Drosophila melanogaster: one gene and its partners. The protein of the gene in region 1 interacts with the protein of each later gene in a pairwise test. Each region holds a gene or a part of one and is shown in the gene's direction. Other genes may lie near its edges. The genes, in order: esn, CG6724, CG14275 and rngo.

Region 1 (4,624 bases):
TTAAAGGCATTGTCTATCGACCATACAACCAATGATTGATTACTAACGATAATGATAATACAATCACCTTGAGCATCTAATGTTCTCAGTGCACCAATTTTCACCTGCTGCTGGCATCTGACAACTGCTTTCGCTGACATTTCTCCAGTTGGAGACCGTGTGTCTCGGTTTTAATCAAAATTGTTTCATGAATTGTTCAGTTGTTCCAACTGTCAAATAAAGTTTTGACGCCCCTCTTTTCGGAAAACTCCGGGCAATTAAAATACTTTTGGCAGTCACTTGCTTATTTCGTTTGCCTTCAGCCGCTTCATGTTGGCTGTTCTCTTCTGGCCTGGTCCTCAATTAGTTGGGCCATTTCGCCCATCACTCTTTGAGTGTCGAAAGAGAGTGCAAATATTTAACGTTAAATGGGGAAATTAATTTATTTACTTTCGTCTTTCATTGCAGTTGGTGAAACAATTTGTTAAAACGCAAACTTCGCAATGGCAATTCGTTTGGGAGAGTTTTGAAGGTAAGTTAAAAATTCAATTGAATCCTTTAGCTTGTAGTAAAGGTCACTAATTTTAAATTATTTCTGGTTGTTAGTAGCCAGAGAAGAAAGTATAATTGCAAAGTGTGAGAAGTTAGCGGCTCTAATTAATTCATCGAGAGAGACACTTTATATAGCGACTCAAAATAATTCAACGAAAGACACATTTTATATTGTGCAAATAATTTTCATAGCATTTTTATATCCGAGATAGTTAGTGGAATGCCTCGGAAGTGAAACTGGTCTTTGATCTATTAAGTCGATTATCAAAATCACCACATAACTTTAAACTAAAAACCATTTTGAAGAATACTTATCCCAAATATCAACAGGACATAATTGCACTGGCTAGTAAATTCTAGCTCAGCCTCAATTGCAATGAATCAGTAGCTGCGTGTTAATTGAATAATATGTGAAATCGGTGTCGACTCCATTACCGTCCGTGTGCTGCCACAAGAAGAGAGTCCCGTGCAGCATAGGGAAGCCACAAACCCTAATTTCCAATGATTGGTTTGTTCCCTCGTCCACGTTCCATCCGCCCGTCTTCATTTCCATTCCGGGGCAAACGGATGGATTTCATGAGAGGGGCCTTACCCGATTACCACATTTTCACCAAGCCCGCAGTCTAATGACCACCTATGAGTGCGCTGCTAATGTGGTAACACAACGCCCAAGGGACGCTGGCCGTGGTCTTCCCTTGTTGGCCGTGATTGAAATGGGTCAATCGCTAAACGGCCTGAAATGTGTCAAATGGCCCGAAGACAGCTGCATCAACCAGTTGCAGCTACCAGAATCTGCCTCTTCAATAGCTGGCTAATAAACGCCACCACATTCTGGCTCGAATCCGAAGCACTCAACCGAAAGCCACTCGACTCACCTGTGCCACCTGTTTTACCTGCACTTGCTTGGGCCACAAGAGCGAGCGAGAGATATATAGATGAGAGAAAGAGAGCTGTGGTGAGTTGGCTGGATCGTCTTGGTGGTGAGTTTGACCTGCACCAACCTGGCCAAAAGCCGCCTTTCGGCCAACAGCTACTTTCTACAATCTTCAGTTGTTTGAGCAGCCCCAAAGCGAGCGGTGCGAGTGCTGTTCTTTCGCGAACCAGGAATTCAGATAGAATCCCAGCCGATACGTATCAATCCGATCGCGAGTGCACGTAATTGGAGCAAGCGGATCGCCCGTTAATTGCTGGCGACGGTAATTGCAGGCCGCCGCATACCTGCCAACTGCTTAAGGTGTTCCCCGTTCGTTAATGTGTCAATTGATTGATTGGCCCGCGACCCGTGATTGACGTGCGTTCCACTCACCGCGATGCTCTCGAAGAAGCGCTGGTGGAAGATCCGGCTGCCGCAGGTGGGCAAGCAGGATCAGTCGAGGAACTACCGGGACATCGTCAACCTGAGCGAGTGCTCCTCAGTGCTGGCCAACACGGCCACCACGATTAGCGACAGCTCCACCACCACCGCCAGCAGCGGCAGTCCCACCCGCCACCGGAGCTGCGACAGTCTCTCCAAGAGCTCCCAGGCGGAGGCGGGCAAGCTGTTCCCCCGGAACATGCCCAGCATACGGCGGAGTCGCCGACGGGCTGTGTCCGCGGAAAGGGAGCGCCTGGCCAGCCGGGAGCGGCTGGAGGAGCAGGTTCAGCCGCCGAAAATGCCGCAGATAGGAGCTGGACAGCAGTCCCGGCTATCGACGGTGACCAAACTGACGCCCAGGAAGCAGAGTAGCAAGTCCACGTGCTCCAAACATCGGGGCAACGCCCCTGCGAAGTGCATCATCAAGTCGGCAGTGCGAACCAAGACCAAGCCAAAGGCCACCACGATCACCCTAGCACCCTACGAAATAGCGCTGGAGCTGCCCAACGAATCCCCTGCACCCACTTTGGCCATGGCCGTGGCCCAATCCTCCGGCTGCGTGCAGAGGAAGCTGAGCAGCGAGGATCAGTTCCACTCCTCGGGAATCTCCTGCAACGGGGAGACCGACGATGACGTGGAGGTGGCCATGCTGACCGGCAGCTTAACGCCCTCCCAGATAGCAAGGATCCAGGGGCAGCAGATCCTCCGATATGACGATCTGAGGAACCTGAACCGCTGCCGCAACAGGAACGCCGTTTGGCTAAATCCCAAGGATACGGAGCAGCTCCTCGAGGTGGACAAGAGCAGGAGGAAGGCCAACTGCTACTTCAACCAGGCCATTGCCGACGATATCCAGCTCAGCGATATTGAAGAACAATTGGCCAGATTTGATGGCCACTCAAAGAGGCCGCCACCGCCGGCAGCCACAGCACCCAAAATGTGAGTTTCCACCGGCTATCTCTAATGGCCATAACTCTCGGCGATAAGTGGGCGAGGGAAAGCGGAGTTGTCGGCGGGAATGTGGCCAACTAATTTGAAATCCATTTGATGAGCTTTGCATTTCCCAATTTAAGTGACTATAAAACGGGCGTCGCAGTAGAGAGTTTACGGCCCAATTTGATGGCTGCTTAATAGCTTCATATGAGCCGTGCTCCGTGCTCCGAGTTGAGGAGCAGTTGGGTTCTGGAGGATTCTATTCCTAACCACTGGAATCATACTTTATGGTTCTTCAAATTAAACTGGCTATTCGAAGTTATAGGCAAGGCAGATCGCATTAAAATGGGCTGGCACACTGACAGCTTTATAGATTTCCGACTTACGTTGAGTTAATACTCGTTATATTGAAAATGGCCGCTTTCGTGTTTGGTAATTTAATACCTTTTAGCTGCCGTTGAAAATGTGGGTCTGCAACTTTCTACCAATGTTGTTTTTACAACTATTGAAAGAGAAGTACGAAGGCCAAACAATTTACCGAATTTACCGACTACAATTGCAATTGTTTAAAAGGTAATAAACCAATGGACACGATTGTTGTTTTTGGCCCTTGGGTTTATAGCCCATTTGAAGTTTGCAATGTTAATATGGAATTAATCCCGTGATCTTTTTTTCTGTTGTCATTTTTGTCACCATCGCCATTTCTTTCCCTTATTAGATTTCATATTGTTTAGGATAAATTAATTTCTTCAGAACTTCTTAAGGAATCCAGAACGATAAGGCATACCTCTTTGGCGGCTCATAAATAGAGCGGAGTTTATCATTTTCACCTGATCAACAGCCGTTGTTGGCTACGCGTATCAGTTTCAATTGCGCTGAGAGTACAAATCCTACAGGTCACCCTCGAATAATGGCACAAATAATCCGCCATAAGAGGCTCTGTCAGCTGGAGGCGACTTTGTGGGCTCGCTAAGAAGGTGTTATTAATGCCCGACTATTTGCAAAACTGGCACCGGAAAGTTATTTATCAACTTTCTGGCCAGCACGTGCTCCTTCCTTCGCCTCGCTGTCGAGTTTTGTTAACTGCAAAATGAATTGCATGCAGCTAAGTGGCAACAGCAGCGGTTAAACGAGGCTGGCAGAACTTCGGGTCCACTGAGCCCATCCTCACGAGGTCCTTCTCCTCCGATCGCCCGTCACCTTGTGTTTGCATCCTGCAGCCTCATAAATTCCATCCGACGACTTCATAAATTGAGTTCTTTTTGCCGCCTGACTGAGTGCCCTTCATCGAAAAGGTATTCTGTATCTTTCAGATCTTTCAGATCTTTCAGGTCCTCGGCATCTTTGCCATTTCTGCCATCTCTTCCATCTTTTGTATTCTCTGCATTCCGCATGCAGACTTCATTTGCATGGACTTCTGTTCATAAATCTACGCAAACTGTTAATTAGATTTTGTTTTGGGTGAAGCCATAAAATATTGGTGGAAGGAGTGCGCCATCAATTTCCCTTAAACAGAACTTTGTAATTTGAGACGCACATCCACCTCCAGTTCCACCTCCAGTTCCACATCCATATGCACATCCTCTCGAGCCATTCGCAATCAGCGGGGCTATTACATTCGCAGTTTAAATAAACCAAACCCAATATTGACTGGCGGCTACTTAAAGCGTAATTAAGCGCCTGGCCGGCCGAACACTTTGCATAGGAATCTCAACAATAAAGTAAATAAGTTGGGACCGCCGGCGGCCCTCTTTTGCCAGCCTGGCTAATTGAAGTTGGCCAGAAGCGAGGGGCTAGTCCGCGTCC
Region 2 (4,015 bases), on another chromosome or scaffold:
CGCAGCACAAAAGTTGCCGGCGGGGCAACCACTCGGGTTACCAGCGACTCCATCGCCATTCCCATCCCCGGGTTACGTAACAAGGTTGAGGATAGGATACCATGCCATGCGATAGCAATGTGCCGACTTTTATTGTTAATTCGTATGCGCAGCGGGATCAGCGAGGAGAAAGTCGGCGAAGATCGTTAGGAAAAAGCCACAAATCAAACCAATAAATCACTCGTTTCGATTCGAGAGTTCGTTTGCAGAGGAACCAACTGGTTTTCGGGGAGGATCACTTTCGCTTTTAATATTTTTTTCGGATTTTTTTTTCCAATTGTTTTGGGTGGTAAATAAACGCTGCGATTAAATACTTGTAATGTTTTCGTTTTATTAGTGAGAAACTTAACAATGAGGACGAAATGCAATGAGCTAACCAAGGAAGTGGTCCTACGACTTAGTTGCGACCGATCTGGTCGACCTGGGACTGCAGGTTGTTTATCACCTCGGAGGGCACCTGGTCGCCGAGGATCTCGAAGAGATTGATGCGCTGGTTGCCGGGTATCTGCTCGTACGCGCCCAGCTCGATGCCCTCCTGCACGTTCTGGATCTGGGCATCCTTGGGGATGAGAAGCGTCTGCTGCGCCTGCCGGATCGCCTCGTTCGTGTAGGCGGCACCCTCGCGATTCTGGGGCAGGGATTGGGCACCAGCCAGGAGCAGGGCGAGCATCGAACACAGCGCGAACACTTTCATTTTGTGGGTTTTCTCGAGGGGATTCAACTGCAAGAGATGCACGGATTCAGTGGCGCTCGATGCGGACTGGATTTGGTTATGGTCTTACCTTGCGCGCGTCGTTTGTTGTAATGTTTCGGCTGCGCAGGCGCAATGCCCGTTTTATAAGCTGAGCTGCGCCGCTGGAAGCCCCGAAAATCTGGAAAGCTTTAACTCTTTCATTTCGCTTCGTTTCTGGTTTTTTGTAAAGCCAAAATGGTGGCACAAAGTAGTAGTACCGAAAAAAAGTGTTATTACTTCCCAGCTTAATATCCCCATCGACCCATTAAGGTGAATACATTTTTTATTGGAAATTTTTTATTTTCTTGGGCATTTGTCCAATTTTGATGCGAAGGTTAAGCGCCACTTCAGAAATGTCAAGTGGCATTTAACCTTCCAGTGAACACTCGGCCGCAAAGTGGTCTTTCAGGTGCTATCTGGTTCATATTAATAGCCTGAACGTAAAATATTAACAATTACCAGTCTTTGAAGATTGAAGAGTCATTTACAAATTGCCGCCGCGGCTGTGCATTTTTTGGTTTCTTATTTTTCCATTTTGCGTAAGACGATCAAAAGGAAGAGAAGCAGTTAGTGGCTAAATTACAGCAAATCATCTGCGCCTGATTTGCTTGCAAAAAATATTTAATTATCAGTATTGCGAATTGGCTCGTATCTCTGTAAGATTTTTTTGTAATAAAAAAAAGGAGAAACGACAAAGCAGTGGTTATGCAATCAGCGGTTTTTCGAATTTGATGAGTAATATTTTAGAGAAACAAAATCAAAGTGATTAGAAATACCATACACTCTATTAATATCTTTTTATTTGTTAAAGTAATCGGCAAATTACACTTAAGCAAGCTATTATAATTATGCATAGTTTTAACGCACCAAAAAATTTGAATTTAAAAACTCCGCTTAGTAGTAACGGGTGATAACAAGACGATAAGGCATTTCGATAAGAGCACAGCGATAGCAATGCGATAACTCTTATTCCGGCATGCGCTTCGGCGTTTTTTAGTGTTTTTGCATGTATTTGTTGCATTTACCATCGTTCGTTTAAAAACACGCTTCTTTTCAATTTAATTTTACACAACGATCTCCCGAAGGAAGAACCTCTAGTTTAGTGGTCAACACCTTGTACCACCTGCAGGAGTTAAGTCATAACCGTAGCAAACACACGCGGGAACACCCCAATCCCAATCCAGCCAAAAAGAAACGCACGTGGGCCAGGAGATGGATGTGGATAACGGCGAGGGGCAGGTGCAGGTGCACCTGAAGACCAAGCAGGAGCAGTGAGTGTCCATCTAGAATCTCTATCAGTAGAAGATTTTAATCAAGATACCCTATTTCAGCTATGCCGTGCCTGATGTGCCCTATGCCATCGATGGCACCGTCACCACCGTGGAGCTAAACACATTCGTGAACGCACTGTTGCGTCAAAAAGATGGCTCTTCCGACACGGACTTCGACTTCCTGGTGTTCGATGAGTACCTGCGTGGCCGGCTGTGCGATCACCTGCGCGAGAAAGCCATCAGTTTCGAGGACGCCATCGAGATCGAGTATGTGGAGCGGTTCCCGGCGCCAGAGCCACAGGATTGCCTGCTGCACGACGACTGGGTGTCCGCGGTGAAGGCTAGAGGAAAGTGGATCCTCTCCGGGTGCTACGACAACACCCTGAATTTGTGGACCAACAAAGGCAAGCACATTCTCACTATTTCTGGTCACACGGCGCCCATCAAGGCGGTGGACTGGATATCGCTGGACGAGGAGACGGGACGTTTTGTGTCCACATCGCAGGATCAGACCGCCATGCTGTGGCAGTGGAACGTGGGCTCCAACTCGGTGGAATGTGTCTCCGTGTGCAAGGGCCACGAGCGAGGCGTCGACAGTGTCAGCGTGAGTCCGGATGGTCTGAGATTTGCCACGGGCTCTTGGGACACGATGTTGAAGGTGTGGTCAGCAGAGCTGGACGATGCAGTCGAGGGCAGCTCAAAGCGGATGAAAGAGAGCGGTGTGAGAGTGAGTAGTCTTGCCATTTATAATTAGACTTGTAATCAGCTTTACAATTCCTTTCAGACCCCCAAAATTACGCTGCAGGGACATCGTGAGAGCGTATCAGCCGTGCAGTGGATGGATGCTACCACTCTGCTAACTGGCAGCTGGGATCACACACTCAAGGTGTGGGATCTGAGTCTTGAGGGCATCAAGACCGAAATATCCACCAACAAGTCCATATTCGATGCGAGCTACTCAAAGCTGAATCGGCTGATACTGACTGCTTCGGCGGACAAGAATCTGCGGCTCTATGATCCTAGGACAAACCGTAAGATCTAATACTCCAATATCAACAATGGAACTTCCACCTAACCAATATAATTCGGATCTTTCAGAGGGATCAGTGGTAAGGAATACCTATCTGGGACACAATGCCTGGGTGCAGACCGTCATGTGGTCCACCACGGAGGAGTTCCTATTTGTCTCCGGCGCTTATGACAACCAGAACAAGCTGTGGGACTGCAGGAGTCCCAAGGCCCCACTGTACGATCTTCTGGGTCACGGTGAAAAGGTCCTGGACATCGACTGGTCCAATCCCAAGTACATTGTATCTGGTGGTGTCGACAACACGGTGCGCGTATTCAAATCTCGCAAGGCGCTAGCGGAAGAAGCGGAGACGAAGTAATCCCAAAACTTGTAAACTTTTTATAAATACAAAACTAGTTTAAACTTTAAAGTAAATATTGAAAGATTTTACATCTGGGGTGTTACACTTAAATTATCGAAGTGGGTGAAGCAGAGAGGTATTCAAAGTGTATTATACATGGTGTAAATATTCTTGTTTTTTATTTCATTTACGAAATAGTTAGATTTCAATACTTGAATATTATTTTTATGGTATCCGCTTCCGAGTTGCCACAGTGCTAGAAAAGGCAAAAAACGGTTGCCAGAAGCCGAACATCGATAGTTCGCTAAGGATGAGCGGACAGCGCGAGCACCTAGAGACGGACCCGGACCGATAGCTGGCTACAAACATACAAATTATCGAGTTTCTAACAAAGATAAAGTCGGCTCTGCGTCGCCTCGTAATTTGCCAACTGTAATTTAGCGAAATAACAACGATCGCGACCGTGAGCCGCCGAGGAGTTTGGAGCGCCGACACTGCCACCCACCAAGGACGCCAGCGGAACAGCCGTGCATCCACTGCGAAGGCCGTGTGCGCGAGAGTGCGAGCGAGAGGGCAGCAGGCGACACAGGGAGAATCATTTT
Region 3 (7,566 bases), on another chromosome or scaffold:
TTGCCTATCAATTGTTTGGCCGTTAAAGGTCGATTCAGAAATGAGATCTCTAAGCTAAGATTATTAAAATGTTTGTATAAACAAATACATTAAAAAGCTAATCGTGCTCCCTGAATTAGGTGTTTTGAAATATATACATGTTTACATATTGTATTAAAATAATCTGCTCTTAATCACTTCCACTTCTGTTTCTTCTTATTTTGGCATCTCACTTTTTATTTATGTATTTTTAAGTAGTCGCAATTAGAAGCTGCAATTAGCCGAAGGCAGTGCACTGGACTATTCGCCTCATTCACTCATAACCCTGAGCGCCATTTCAACTAGGCGTCCAGACACTCAATCCATAGCCGGAGATCAGGAGGACGTGAGCACGTGAATAGCCGGAGAAGTCGCACAGTAGAAGCAGAAATCAAATCCACCGGGATTAATTAAGCTTAATCGCAGGCTTCCTCTTGAAGCTCCAGCCACGTTGCTTATCACAAAGTCGCACAAATTGCTGCCCCAAGACGCTGGTCAATTGAATTAAGTCTTTCTTTCACTCACTATATGCACTATATATGTACATACATATATGTATGTATGATATGTACATATATTTTTGCAGATCGGTTTGCCTGGCTTTTGTGCCCCAATCAGTGCGCGAAATTGAGGAATCCGTGGGGGCAGATTGCCCTTTGGGGAGATTTGTGTTACCCTGTCTCCCAGTCGCGCTTGTACTTACACTTAAAAAAAAAAAGGTTCATAATATGCAGTCGATCTTTTATAAGTATTTTGGAAGCCTCATATTTTGTAAGCATTTATCTTCACTTTACTTTTATTTTGACACACTTAAATCGTTTTTATATATTTTTTTATTCATTATTACAATGTTAGGTGTATTTATTTTATTTTTTTATTAATATAACTTCAATTTATTTAAATAAAAAATTGAGAAAATAAATATTTCTCAGTGTGATGTCCCTAAATTGATTGCATTAAACAATGTTTGCGACTATAAATAGCGATAGTAAGAAAAGAGTTTTCGCTTTGGATTGGGGTTAAAGTACGAATAATCAAAATGTTGACTAACATGTTAAGCAACAAATTGTTTAAATTTAAATAACATTGAGTCCGACTAAAACGCGAAGCTTTGAAATCTTAAGCTTTTAAGCTACCGCTTCTAATGTGTTGAAGAACCGACTAAAAGCTTTTCTAACAAAATATGGGTTATTTGCCGTGAGAATTTCCCCTTGTTTCAATTAGAGCATTAGCCCCAAAAAATAAGTTTCCTTTATTTACTTTTTTTTTTTTGTTCCGTGGCTTCGCATTAATTTCGTATTTTATGCGCAATTAATCATGAAGTCTGGCGATTGAAATCGCGAACAGGAGAGATACGTTTCCAGAAATCACTTGTTAGAAAAAAAAAAATCCGGCAAACCGGTTTCAGCAAACAAGAATCGGGCTCATTTGCCTCAGTTTGTTTTTGGTTTCAAACGAATCCCCAGTCTGACCTCCCAATAATGCTCGCAGATCAGCTGATTTCCGATTTCTGACTTCGATACGAACCCACCAATGTCATTTGGCTGAAGACAAAGATCTCATATTCACAGACCTCAGTTACACGTTGAATTTGCAGTAGATTGGTTCTACTGTCGGTGGGAATTTAAACACTTAAAGTCAAACAAACAAAAACTAACAATAGAAGTGCAACAAAACAGTAAAAAATTTCAAAAGAAAAAAGGTATTTCCTAATTTAATTAAATAAATAGATAGCAAGAAGTGAGATTTTTGAGATCAGTTTGTGTAGTTTGCTTTTTGAGATTCTTCATTTCCAAGCAAACACAATAAAAGAAAAGATAAATTCACTTTCATAATTTATGAACAGAAGATTTTACCATTACATAGGAAAATTAGTTTCCAAAAATTTCCCCACACAATCACAATAAGTTAAGGAAATTTTCCACTTTTCATTGAGAGCTGTTTTCGACCAAGAACCACTTCAAACTGGCTAAAACCGGCAACTGAGCGCGGCAATATGCATATTCACTTTAGCTTGGCGCTTCACACAATGCAGCGTGGAAATTAAAAATTAGTTGCATTGTTTGCAGAATCGAACACCTAATGAATGCACTGCACAGATATGTACCTTACGTCAGGCAAAATTTAAAACATTTAATGATGAGTCAAGAAATTCGTACCGCCTTGAACTAGAAGAGAGACAGATAAGACGAATCCACTGATTTTCCCAATTAAGTTGAGTCCGAAAGTCTGACTTCGTCACCGATGCGGACTAGACCGAACCACCACAGCTGAGTTTTTGGAGGTGCGAACCAGTTTTAACTAATCAGCGCCGTTGATAAGGAACTGCCGTTCTATGGAGCTCGTACAGTCCATGTTATGGCGGTCAGAACGTGCTCCTATCGCAAAAACCCAGCTCACCGGAACCAAATCGATCACTCGATGGGAAAAGATTGCAGAGCCAATGACATCTTGGCCCGAATTTGAGATTCCAACTTCCTATCAAATGAATTAGCTATTACTTTTTTTATGGAAAATCTAGGTAATTTGTACGTCAGTTTTTATAAACTTAACATTCACATTATTTGTATAGTAATGAAAAGTTATAAAGTTATATGGCTATTAGCCATTATTGCATTTTATTGGCTTATACTACCAATATTATGCTGCATATGGGAATCTTACTTAAACAATGGTTATCTTTTGTTAATAGGCATAGTAAGTGGCTATTCAAAAGCTATATATAGTATAGTATTGTATAGTACATACATTGTTTATTTACTTTTTTTTGGGAGCTGTTTGCGAGTGACGTCACAATTCGGACTTAACTGGTTCAAGCCGGTGGATTCCATTTGGACTGTGTTTTGCATTCGGGTTAAGAACCAAGCTGAAACCAACCGAAGCTGGAGCTTATCAATGCGGCGTGGAAACTACCTTGTGTAGCATCCCCCTATATAGTCGCACATATATGTATGTATTTAACATACATAGGTATATATGTTGATATAAAACGACCCCGTAAAGACGATCGAGTGACGGAAGTTTTCACATATTTTCCATTTGCTGCCTTTAGGGCCGATCTCGCTCTCTTCGCTCTCCCGAAGCCAATCTGCTCGGCTCGGCTCTCAGTTCGCAATGAGCTGGCTTTTTGAAAAATCAACGTTTTTCGAAAAGTCAAATACAAGTTTTCAGATTCATCTCGACGGTGCTCGCGTCCAGTTGTCCGTTCGCATTAATCAACAATATATTAATTGTGTGCTGTAACTTCTTATGATCATAAAGAGTTGTTTAGCATTTTATTGAAAATATCAAAGGTGATTGAATGCATACGAATAACATTTTGAAAGGGCTTAAATTGTTTGTGAAAAACGACTTCGATTGTAATCTGTAATGGATATAAGCTAATTGGGTAGAAAACAAATTTTAATTTAATTTTTTTGAACTGTGCACAACTCACTGGATGTACACAACATTTAAATTAAATTTACATATTCGCAGCTACTTGTTGCAATCCGCCTCGTTGAATATTCAAATTTAAAAAAAAAAATCCAAAAGTTGCATCAGCACACCACTTGCACTTGTCACGTTTAATAGCCACGTTCTGATACCGGTTTACGAGTGTAAATAAGAGTAGTATACAAAGAATTATAGATTATTAATATTACCAGAGCAATGCTAATTAAACAATGCGCTGCTTCTAGTGCTAATCAAATTACAAACAAACCTCAATGCAAAAAAGAGAGAAAAATCTGATAAATAAAATGCGAAAATCTAATACTACTTACAGCATCAGCGTTGGAGAAGTCTACTGGAAATCTAGTAACTGCAATCAAAAACCACAAAATGGCAATCACAACCTACGTCTATGCCATGTGCCTTGTTTTGGCCGCCAATTTGTTAACAGGTAAGTTCTTATATCTATCAGAAAAATGTATAATATTTAGGAAATGGAATAGATTTAAATTGAAACTAATAAAATTAATAAAAATTAAGTTAGAATTATGTGCAGTGTAGGTAGTGTTCTATGTTTCAAAGTAATCAGCTAGCTTTTATTCAGCTAATCAATTGAAAATCACTTTCAATGTAGTGTAATACAAAAGGCCAATTGGTTGGCCAACACTTTAGTGATTGTCAAAATTGGTTTTTCGCCAATTGATTGATTTTTCCCTACTCGAAATCATTTAAACCAATCACAAAACAAGAAGCCATATAATCAGCGGGGTGGAAACTGATGCCAAACGCATTCGTGACTCACCAAAACTTATCAAGAAAATTGATGCTGCCCATTCAAGCGCCAAATTTAAATGTGTTTATCCAGATTGAGCTTCAAATAATCGAAAAGTTTTTATTTTCTACAGCAAAGAAAACTATACTAAATTCATAAATGACGGGGGATTTTAATAAGGATGATAAATGGCCAAACCTATTGATTTCTGAAATGAATAGCGCTAGATATTGGCATTTATCGTACTAAGTTATGATGAATTCATATTACAAGTTTTTTAAATAATATTTGCTTCACTGAATAGAAAGATAATATTCTAAAATATTTTATTTGTTAATTTATGTTTCGTTTAATTTTATTTGCTAGAACTTTTTTGATTTTCCTTATACGTTCAATAATTAAGCGATGCCCACTGCGTTTGTAGCAATTACCTCATCATTCGACATATCACTTCGGGCAAATAATTGTTTAAAAAAATCCGAGAGTTTAAACTAATTATACCCGCGATGCTCACACGCACACACAATTGCCCGAATCCGTTTGTAATCCACCGCTTGGAGTAAATTGATTGTCCAAGCAATTCGGCGACTCGCACTCACTCGTTAAGGGAACATTAAATGGCGTTAAATAATATTGAATGTATTTGCACGCGAACAAATGTGTGGTTGTTTATATTATATTATTGAGTACATATATATACCCTCGATCCATTAATCGGTTGGGCAAATATGCACGTTTGTGGGCGCATTCCAGTGGCGAGTGAATAGCACACAACCTTTTCCACGGCAAACTGAAGAGCGCGTTTCATTAGCGAACAATTGTCAGGCGAAAAGTTGCAACAGTTGAGAGATATTGCGCTCGACTGCCTCGATTTCCACCCGCTTTTCCGATTTTCCGCACTTGCCACAAGTTCACCGGTGAGCCGCATGAATATGCAACAAATGTAAAATGCAAATGGCAAATGCTAGAAATGCAAATTCAGTTCAGTTTCCCCTACCACTACTCTTACTACTGATTTTTATGGCAGGTGACTTTTTATTACTGAATTTTTGTTTGCACTACCCTGGATTCGTTTAATTGCCCAAGTAAGTGGTTAGTAACCAAAGTGTTATAATATTACTCATACGACCCGTTCGACATTTGTAATCCTGACAAAAGCTTAGACATATTTCGAGTTTATAATAACGAGTTTCAGGTTACTGTTCCTCCAAGTTAGCATGTCCTTGCCCTTTGGCAAATGTAGTTTTTCTTTTCACCGGATTCAATGGGAAAAATTCTCTTCTGAGTGACGGCTTCAAGTTTACCCATCGTATTGCTAACCAAATTGGATGGAGACTGTCAAATCAGCTGAAAGGAAAATTGATATGGTAATAGGAGCAATCGTACCAATGGAAAGGCTAATTTCCTAATTCAACTAGATTTTAAATGAGCTAATTATTTCATTAGTACAGCAAGTTGGTTTGATATCTATCGAAATTATACCTATCAAATTAAAGAAGGGTTAATAAATTTCTGATATTTCTGATATAAATATGGATATTTATAGAAAATATCACTTAAAATGTAAGAAACGCTTGAAACAAAAGACTTAACCTTAATCATAAATTTGTGTACTTTATGTTTTATTTAACACATGCATATTCTATATTTTTTATATTCCTATTGCATTTTCCATATCTCTTAGTTAGGGTTACTGCACTTCGCATCAATTTAGGCCCAGCGATTTGAAGCCCAGTTTTTGTTGAGTTCTTGACGGTTTGCGTGCCAAAGTCTGGATGTTTCGGCATTTATTTGTTGGCCCCAAGCAGTTGACATGCAATTATTCAGGTTACTGCAGTTGAAAAGGACTCGGTTTGTCAGTCAGAGAACGGCCTCCCAATGTTTTTTCCTATTACTTTTTTTGGGGTGGCGTTGGGTGGTTGTAATAAAACAATTTCTGTCAGTGTGACGAGGACTTTGAAAAGGGCGAATCGCGAGGCATTTGAATGCCATTAGTGGCTGCACGTATCCAATTACTGTCGACGAGGATAAAAGTAGTTTAATTAAAGCGGAGGCTTTACCTAATCGTAATACAAGGCACAAATGCATACATTTTGAAATTTCTTAAGTAATTAATTAATAAATGAATTTCTATACTAATTCATGGAATTGTTTTTGAATATATTACACGATTACGAATTAAAAGCAATTAATCAACGTATATGATTGGTTTGTCCTTGCAGTGAATGCCATTCGGTGCCATCAGTGTAATTCGCATGACAACGAGGATTGCGGTGGCCTGGTGGTGAACACTCCTCGTGCCCAGAGGGACAACCAGTACCTGACGGACTGCGTCCCGCCCAGCGGTGAGGTGGCCTTCTGCCGCAAGACGGTGATCAATTTCGAGCAGAACGACGAGCGCAGAATCGAGAGAAGCTGTGGTTTCATTCCGGAGAAGATCCAAAACGCTTGCTTCACCGCCGACAACGAGGGCTACAAGCAGATCATTTGCACCTGTCCCGACGAGGGATGCAATGGAGCCAGCTCCCTGCTGGGTGTCCGCCAGTTGGGCTACAGTCTGGTTGGATCTGTCGTCAGTCTGGCACTGGCCAGCATGCTCAGGCATTAGGTCATCGATCAGCTCACCTTCAGCTCCTGCATCCTGTTTTCTCCATTCAAAACGTACCTAATCCTAACTGGTTAAGCTAAGTCTTAAATATTTTGCACTAAGTTCTTTGCTGTTTGCCATATTTAGTTATGTATACGTGGCAGCTATTTCGCGTTTAGTCTTGTATTCTGTATTTTTATATTTAATTACTATAAAAATATAAGCATCGTATTTAAAAGAAATCTATGATGTTTAATTTATTTGCATTCTTTTATTCTGAACTTGTCGCCAAATGTATAAAATCGAATTTTTCATGGCAAATGAGGAGGACGAACGCTTAAATTGACCAAGGACTCGCCCACGCACTCCGTCTCTCTCTCTCACACACTTCCTGTGCTCTATCTCTGTCTATCGTCCAGTTACTTGCTGCCAAAATGTCTGCAGAAATTGTTTTGTGGCCCAGAGTCAAAGTCACTGTCTACGCAGGCCAAAAATAATAGGGCAACTTTGTTAGTTTTATTGTTGAGGATGAGCATGAAACCCTGACATGTTGGCCCATTAAGTCAAACACAGGATTACACTGAAAACGGAAAACGAGGACGTTCTTTCAAATGTGTGAAATGAGAATATAATAAGCTTACTAATAAGCTTAAGCTAATAATATATGTAACATATTTTTAGTTAGGGGAAGGATCTTTTGCTGCAATAAAGGGCATTATTAAGTTTTTTTTTTACTTAAAATCCTATATTTAGTATT
Region 4 (6,185 bases), on another chromosome or scaffold:
TGGAGAGTATCATTCGCTTCGTGCCGTCGAACGACACCACCGGATAATCTGAAGGGCAAAACACAAATACATTAGATACAGCATTCGCGATATCCCAGCCATTCGTACTTACTATACTTAATGTTAAGCGTATAATTGCCAGACTTCAGGCCGTTGGCATAGTTGGTGTTCGTTTGGTTGAGACGGCGATATAGCTTCCGGAAGCTGGGCAGAGCGGCGGTGCGCATCCACACGATCAGATCCTCGTTCTGGAAGCCATTGTTGTCCGGATTCTCCGGGTCCAGGTCGGCCAGACCCTTCTGCCAGAAAATTGGCTTTGAGAAGCCCTCAAGGGAGACGTTCAGGTTACCCTCTGGGTTTCGGAACTTGACGCGCTTGTCCGACGGCCAGGCAATGCCCGTCTTCAGCAGCTTGATCTCGGATCCACCCTGCAAGAGGGTCAGCGTGTCTGGAAGATATCAATGTTAGTTGCGGTACAGTCAAGGTAGTTTCTGTGCCGCACCATTGAACAGCGAGTTGGCAATGGCACCGCAGGGCGCGATGGGCTTTCCGGAATCGGGATCATAGGCGAAGGGGGCACAGTCTGTACTGGGCGTTTGCGACAGGTGACCCAGCAGCTGCTCGTCGTCCCGTGACTTCACATAGCGCCGATGGTTCTGATAGTAGTTGGTCAGTCCGTAGTACATGTATACCACACCCTTTAAAAAAGGAAGTTAACGAAATACTTAAATGAGAATCTCTTTCTAAAGTATTATAAGGAATCCAAATCCACTATCAATATCATCAATATCTTTTCCAAACCTGCTAAAAGCAATGTTGATAAATGCCTTGCAGATTATAAAAGCAGCATATAGCTTTTCATTTGAACTACTTCACTACCTAAACTAAGAGCTGATTAATTGAGCTGGACAGCTACTGAAGCTCTGGATCCCTATAACTCACATTGAAGTCCGAGGGCAGGACGAAGGGCACCTCGCAGGGGCACGTAACGCCGGGGTTGGCCTCCAGATACTCCGCACAGGTGGTATTTCCGCCCGAGCGCCTGCACTTGGTGTAGTCGATGATCAGCTCGTTGGCGGTGTTGCTCAGGTGGAGCAGGACCACGCCGATGGGTATGAATAGAACTCCGATAACGAAGAAGGTGGGCAGTACGGTGCGGGCGGTCAGGACGGGCTGCCAGGCGGGCAGGCGCTGTTGCTTGAAGGCCGAATCTGTGGGTGGACAACATGGGAAACGGGCAAACGTGAGCGACTTGGCATGACCTCATGGTTAATGCAGGGACACCAGGATGGGCCCCGAAAATCGATTTGCCATTGGATATTAGTCATTCCCCTCCTTATCACTTGTTACGCAGACAAGTGTGTGTGAGTGTGTTATTGGGGGATTGGGATTTGGATGGGGCGACTCGCATGAAACTGGGTTTTCACCTGAAGGTCGCTTGGACTTCGCCGCTGCACTCTCCTCATTCTCCGCTTGCTGTGTGGACATGGTGGCTTATCTGGTTTCTCGCTATGCTCCTCGAAAAGCTCCTTGGTGTCCAAACGCTGCAAGTGACTCCAATTGAATAAAGTAAATACAATAAAATTTCGATGACAGCACATGAGTCATCGATATGTATCGATACCTGCAGTGATGGTATATATCGATGAAATTTTATCTATATTTAGCTTTTGCTCCATTTGGCTTACCTTTGAGAAATATGTTAAACTAAGGTAAGAGGAAAATCATTTGTCTCTCCAAATTCGTCGTAATACCTCCAAATGAGCAATGCTCTAGCCATCCCATTCAACTATCGATAGTCAGACCGCGAATAGTATCGATAAGGCGTCGCATGCAACCGCGTGGAGGCGGCGTTTTCGTTGTTGTGTCAAAACAATAAGCGAGCAGCAGAATATCAGCACACCCATCCAGCTAGCAAAGATAAAGGCGAAAAGGCTAGACCAGCAGAGATTGTGATTCACTTTGCCACCCACCAGTGCAGTACATACCCGCGCTCGCTAACATTCGATCCACCTAAACCACGGTAACACAGAAACGCCAACACACATACACACAGTACGCAGCGGCAATGAAAATCACAGTGACGACCAGCGATGACAAGGTCTTCTGCTTGGACGTGGCCCAGGATCTTGAGCTGGAGAATCTCAAGGCCCTCTGCGCGATGGAGATCGGTGCGGAAGTGTCCCAAATAGCGGTAATTTTCAACGGGCGGGAGCTTTCCAGCGACAAACAGACGCTGCAACAGTGCGGAGTCGGCGACGGCGACTTCATCATGCTGGAACGACGCAGGAGCGCCAATCGCCCAGGTGAGAGAGAGAGAGAGTTGAAATTCGGCGTTGGAATGGAAACGAGATGGGAAAGTGGAAAGAGCGGGGTGAAGAGAGGGGGAGCCATTATCCTTATGTGGGTCACGTTTTTCCCCGTGGAGGGGGGGGGATCTTGAGTGTGTTTTGGAGGATGGTGAAGGGGGTTCATTGGTCAGATAACGCGAATTCGCACAATAATAAAATTAATTATTGTCCTACATGATCCATAACACGTTTATATTCAAATGTCGCTTAAAAAATACTTCAGCAACATAATATTTAGGAAAAACCGGGAAACCCCGAATACGTAGTGCGAACATTTCATTTAACAATACTTTTGCAATGTGAAATTTGAACTGTGCTCATTTTTTTTTTAATTTGTTGGCGTTATTAGTTGCTAGATTTTTATGGAAAAGCGCAGCGAGCACAGCTCATCTTTTTGCGGCGCAATTGGTGTTAAAAATAAACGCCTTGCTTCGTCTGACTTTCTTTTCGCAAATTCCAAAAAAACAGCGGCACACAGACACGGGAAAGAACACTGGAAGTGTGTGCTGTTTCCACTGCAGCAGAGAGGGGGGTTCGGGTTCGGTGAGGAATGGGCATACCAATGAAAGTGGAGGAGCAGCAGCAGGTGCGTTGCCTTTGCCTCAGTCTCAGCCCCATGGATCCACCCACTTGGGCCGCCCACTGTGGCCGGACCACTGTTTTGTTGACCCCTGAATGCGCATTTGGCCTTGTCAGCTTGTCCATTGAAATGGGATCGTGTATATATAATTGTTTTGCTATATACATATGTACATATGTATGAATGGTATTTCTGCACACATGTGCACACATTTTGGCGACTGCAGACAGGTGTGGGCGGTGAACAATTTTCGATTTCATTTGACCATTGCACAGCACTTTGGACTCCATGACTCGCACGCGAGCAAGCTCATTTGGCAGCCAGAAAATGAGTTCAACTACATATCACTTATCTACAGATATGTACATATTATCTAGTTAACACAACTGCACTTGCATTGGTTTATCTCGCTAGTCTGATGTTTTTAATTCGATTATAGATCACAGATTAATTAAGTTCCATTCAAATTGGATGACGGTGATTTAATCTATCTCGACAAACGTTTATACATATGCACATATGTATATAAATGTTTGTTGTATGGTAATTAGCATGAGTTATACGCAATCATTTATTTCACAATCTGCAAGCCAGATTATATTTGGGCAAAATTTGTTGAGGTTTTTAGGTATTGCTTGCTCTTTCTTTCTCAAAATTTGTTCCATTTTACGCGTAAATATGTTGATAATTTTCTCGATTTGTAGCAGATAACTGCACTGACCACAAATTGTCTTTTAAACTATATTCAATGTAATCGATTCGAATATTGACAAATGTAATCCTGTAAAGAAACGCAATAGAAAACTACCTCAATCGATTAATCTTTCGTCTCATTCAAAAATTTCAGTTGGCGGAAATCCAGCGATCAGCACGCTCGACTTCAGCAACATCGCCGTGCCGGGCACTAGTTCAGGCGGCAGTCCACCGTCAAGGCGGGTGCAGCAGCAGGGAGTGCAGCAGCCGCAGTTCAACAACCTCACGGACATACCCACGACCGATGAGTTCAATGTGAACTTCGACGACGACCCAGAGACGGTGCGACAGATGTTTCTGTCCAGTCCCGAGACTCTGTCGCTCCTCCGGCAGTACAATCCCAGCCTGGCGGAAGCCATCGATTCCGGCGACAAGGAAAAGTTCGCTCGGCTGCTTCGCGAGCATATTACGGAGCGAAAGCGTCGTAACGAGCACCGCATGCGCATGCTAAACGCCGATCCCTTCGATGAGGAGACTCAACGTCTGATTGCCGAAGAGATCAAGCAGAAGAATATCCAGGATAACATGGCGGCTGCCATTGAATACAATCCAGAGATCTTTGGCACGGTTACAATGCTGTAAGTAATGGTAAAAATAATTAATATGATTGGATTGGCTCATTGCAATATTGCATATTATTAGCTATATCAACTGCAAAGTGAATGGCATTCCTGTGAAGGCCTTTGTGGACTCTGGCGCCCAGACGACGATCATGAGCAAAGACTGCGCCGAGAGATGCCATGTCAACCGTCTGATTGACACACGCTGGAATGGTGTGGCCAAGGGCGTTGGCACACAGCCCATTCTGGGCAGGATACACATGGTCCAGTTGCAGATTGAGAACGATCACCTAACGTCCAGTTTCACCGTGCTGGGCCAGCAACCCATGGACATGTTGCTGGGTCTGGACATGCTGAAGCGACATCAGGTAATGAAATCTAGATAGCATCAGATTACGTCGCCTAAATGCTAATTGAATTGGTTTTTCCAGTGCCTGATTGACTTGCAGCGTAATTTGTTGATTATTGGCACCACGGGAACAACGACACCCTTTCTGCCGGAAAGTGAGCTGCCGGTCAGCGCCCGGCTGACAGGAAACTCGGAGGATTCGATGGAACAGGAGGCGATTTCCAATGCAATCGAGCAAAGCAAACGGGAGAGCGGTGGCGCCGGTGGCGGGCCCAACACGATCAGTCCTCAAGAACGATTCACCGAACAGGATGTCACCGATCTCATGGCCCTTGGCTATCCTCGCAGCGATGTGCTTACCGTGCTGCGCCTGTGCGGCGGTAACAAGCAGGCGGCCAGGTCCGTGCTGCTCCACCGCAACGATGCCGCCTCGGGGAGCGAACTCAGCTGAACGCGGCTAGACGCACAGCCCACACCACCACCTAAAGCCGAACTCCCCATAGCCAGAAACCGGATTGCAATAGGATGATGAACAGACTGGACCCCATTAACTGGAAGCCGTTCCAACGAAATACTCCGAGCAATACCAAATAATAAGCCACGCCACGCCACATATAAAGTCAAATAGGAAATAGTAAGGACTATACACAACCACAAAGCAATGAATACCGAAACGAAAACCTTTCTAATTTAGTGAAATGTTTATAAACTGATGTCACTTTTTTTATACGAATCGTTTGTTACGATGTACAATATCTAATTAGGGTGCTACGCAGCACTACCGGGTCATTTTTAAAGCAGAGGTGGGTTGGTTTTTTCTAGAGAGAATAGTAAGCGATATAATCTAAAATTTAATGAATGAAAATCTGGACGGTGATGGAAACAAGCCGCATCAACGAAAACATGAAACAAGTAAATACAAAAGAAAAACGAAAGAATGCCTGACTATTAAATAATATTACACTTATACACAATTTGAATTAGTATTAAGGGTCTGTCAAGAAAAACTGAATTGGGTTCAATAATAAATGGTCGATAGTATTGTTTTGGATTTGAAAAGAAAAAGATGAGCAAGCGCATTTTGATTTGTCTTCTTGGGCATCTCGCTGTTTTCACTTTTATAAATCTTTAATAGCATTCGTTATATGTTATGTATATAAATTATAAAATTACAACTTCTGATTTTTGCAAAACTCCTTTAATTGTTTGTTACAGTTGCTATAGTTGTGTCTGATGCTGTGGCTACGCTAATCCTCTTCCTCCTCCTCATCCTCCTCGTTCGCACGACCCGCCCCCGATCCCTTGTGGTTGAACTCCTTCTCTGGATCGAACTGCATGCCCTCCTGGTCGGCGCCATCCTCCTCGTCATCGTCGCCAGCCACCTGGGCGTTCTCGGCCTCAGCGCGCTCCAGGCGTCTGGCCAGATCCGCCTCGTCGATGGCCGTAACCAGTTTGGGTGCCATGATCACCTTGAACTCTCCATCGTACTCGCTGGTCTTGGCGCGAATGTGCTCAATGGCCACCTCCAGAGCCTTTAAACCGTCTGTCTTCTTGGTAGTGGATGTGGTCATTACATAGCTAAAAGGATACGG

Evidence for each region.
Region 2: the proteins of esn (region 1) and CG6724 interact in a two-hybrid assay, tested with the Drosophila melanogaster proteins (one large-scale study listed by BioGRID).
Region 3: the proteins of esn (region 1) and CG14275 interact in a two-hybrid assay, tested with the Drosophila melanogaster proteins (one large-scale study listed by BioGRID).
Region 4: the proteins of esn (region 1) and rngo interact in a two-hybrid assay, tested with the Drosophila melanogaster proteins (one large-scale study listed by BioGRID).

What each region holds. Positions count from the first base shown.
Region 1 is NT_033778.4:7,105,101-7,109,724, forward strand, and holds the start of esn (espinas), read left to right. Parts: upstream 1-1,579; 5' UTR 1,580-1,841; coding exon 1,842-2,824; intron 2,825-4,624.
Region 2 is NT_033779.5:10,767,703-10,771,717, reverse strand, and holds CG6724 (uncharacterized protein), read left to right. Parts: upstream 1-1,765; 5' UTR 1,766-1,984; coding exon 1,985-2,043; intron 2,044-2,103; coding exon 2,104-2,770; intron 2,771-2,827; coding exon 2,828-3,074; intron 3,075-3,141; coding exon 3,142-3,431; 3' UTR 3,432-3,484; downstream 3,485-4,015. Other genes in the region: CG17127 (uncharacterized protein), read right to left, coding at 437-733.
Region 3 is NT_033779.5:8,325,864-8,333,429, forward strand, and holds CG14275 (uncharacterized protein), read left to right. Parts: upstream 1-1,592; 5' UTR 1,593-1,720; intron 1,721-3,184; exon of another isoform or gene 3,185-3,311; intron 3,312-3,784; 5' UTR 3,785-3,840; coding exon 3,841-3,901; intron 3,902-6,444; coding exon 6,445-6,830; 3' UTR 6,831-7,048; downstream 7,049-7,566.
Region 4 is NC_004354.4:16,439,715-16,445,899, forward strand, and holds rngo (rings lost), read left to right. Parts: upstream 1-1,838; 5' UTR 1,839-2,068; coding exon 2,069-2,306; intron 2,307-3,778; coding exon 3,779-4,262; intron 4,263-4,326; coding exon 4,327-4,612; intron 4,613-4,675; coding exon 4,676-5,044; 3' UTR 5,045-5,653; downstream 5,654-6,185. Other genes in the region: Cdc50 (cell division cycle 50), read right to left, coding at 1-48, 113-448, 503-698, 943-1,211, 1,428-1,488; eIF2alpha (eukaryotic translation initiation factor 2 subunit alpha), read right to left, coding at 5,841-6,171.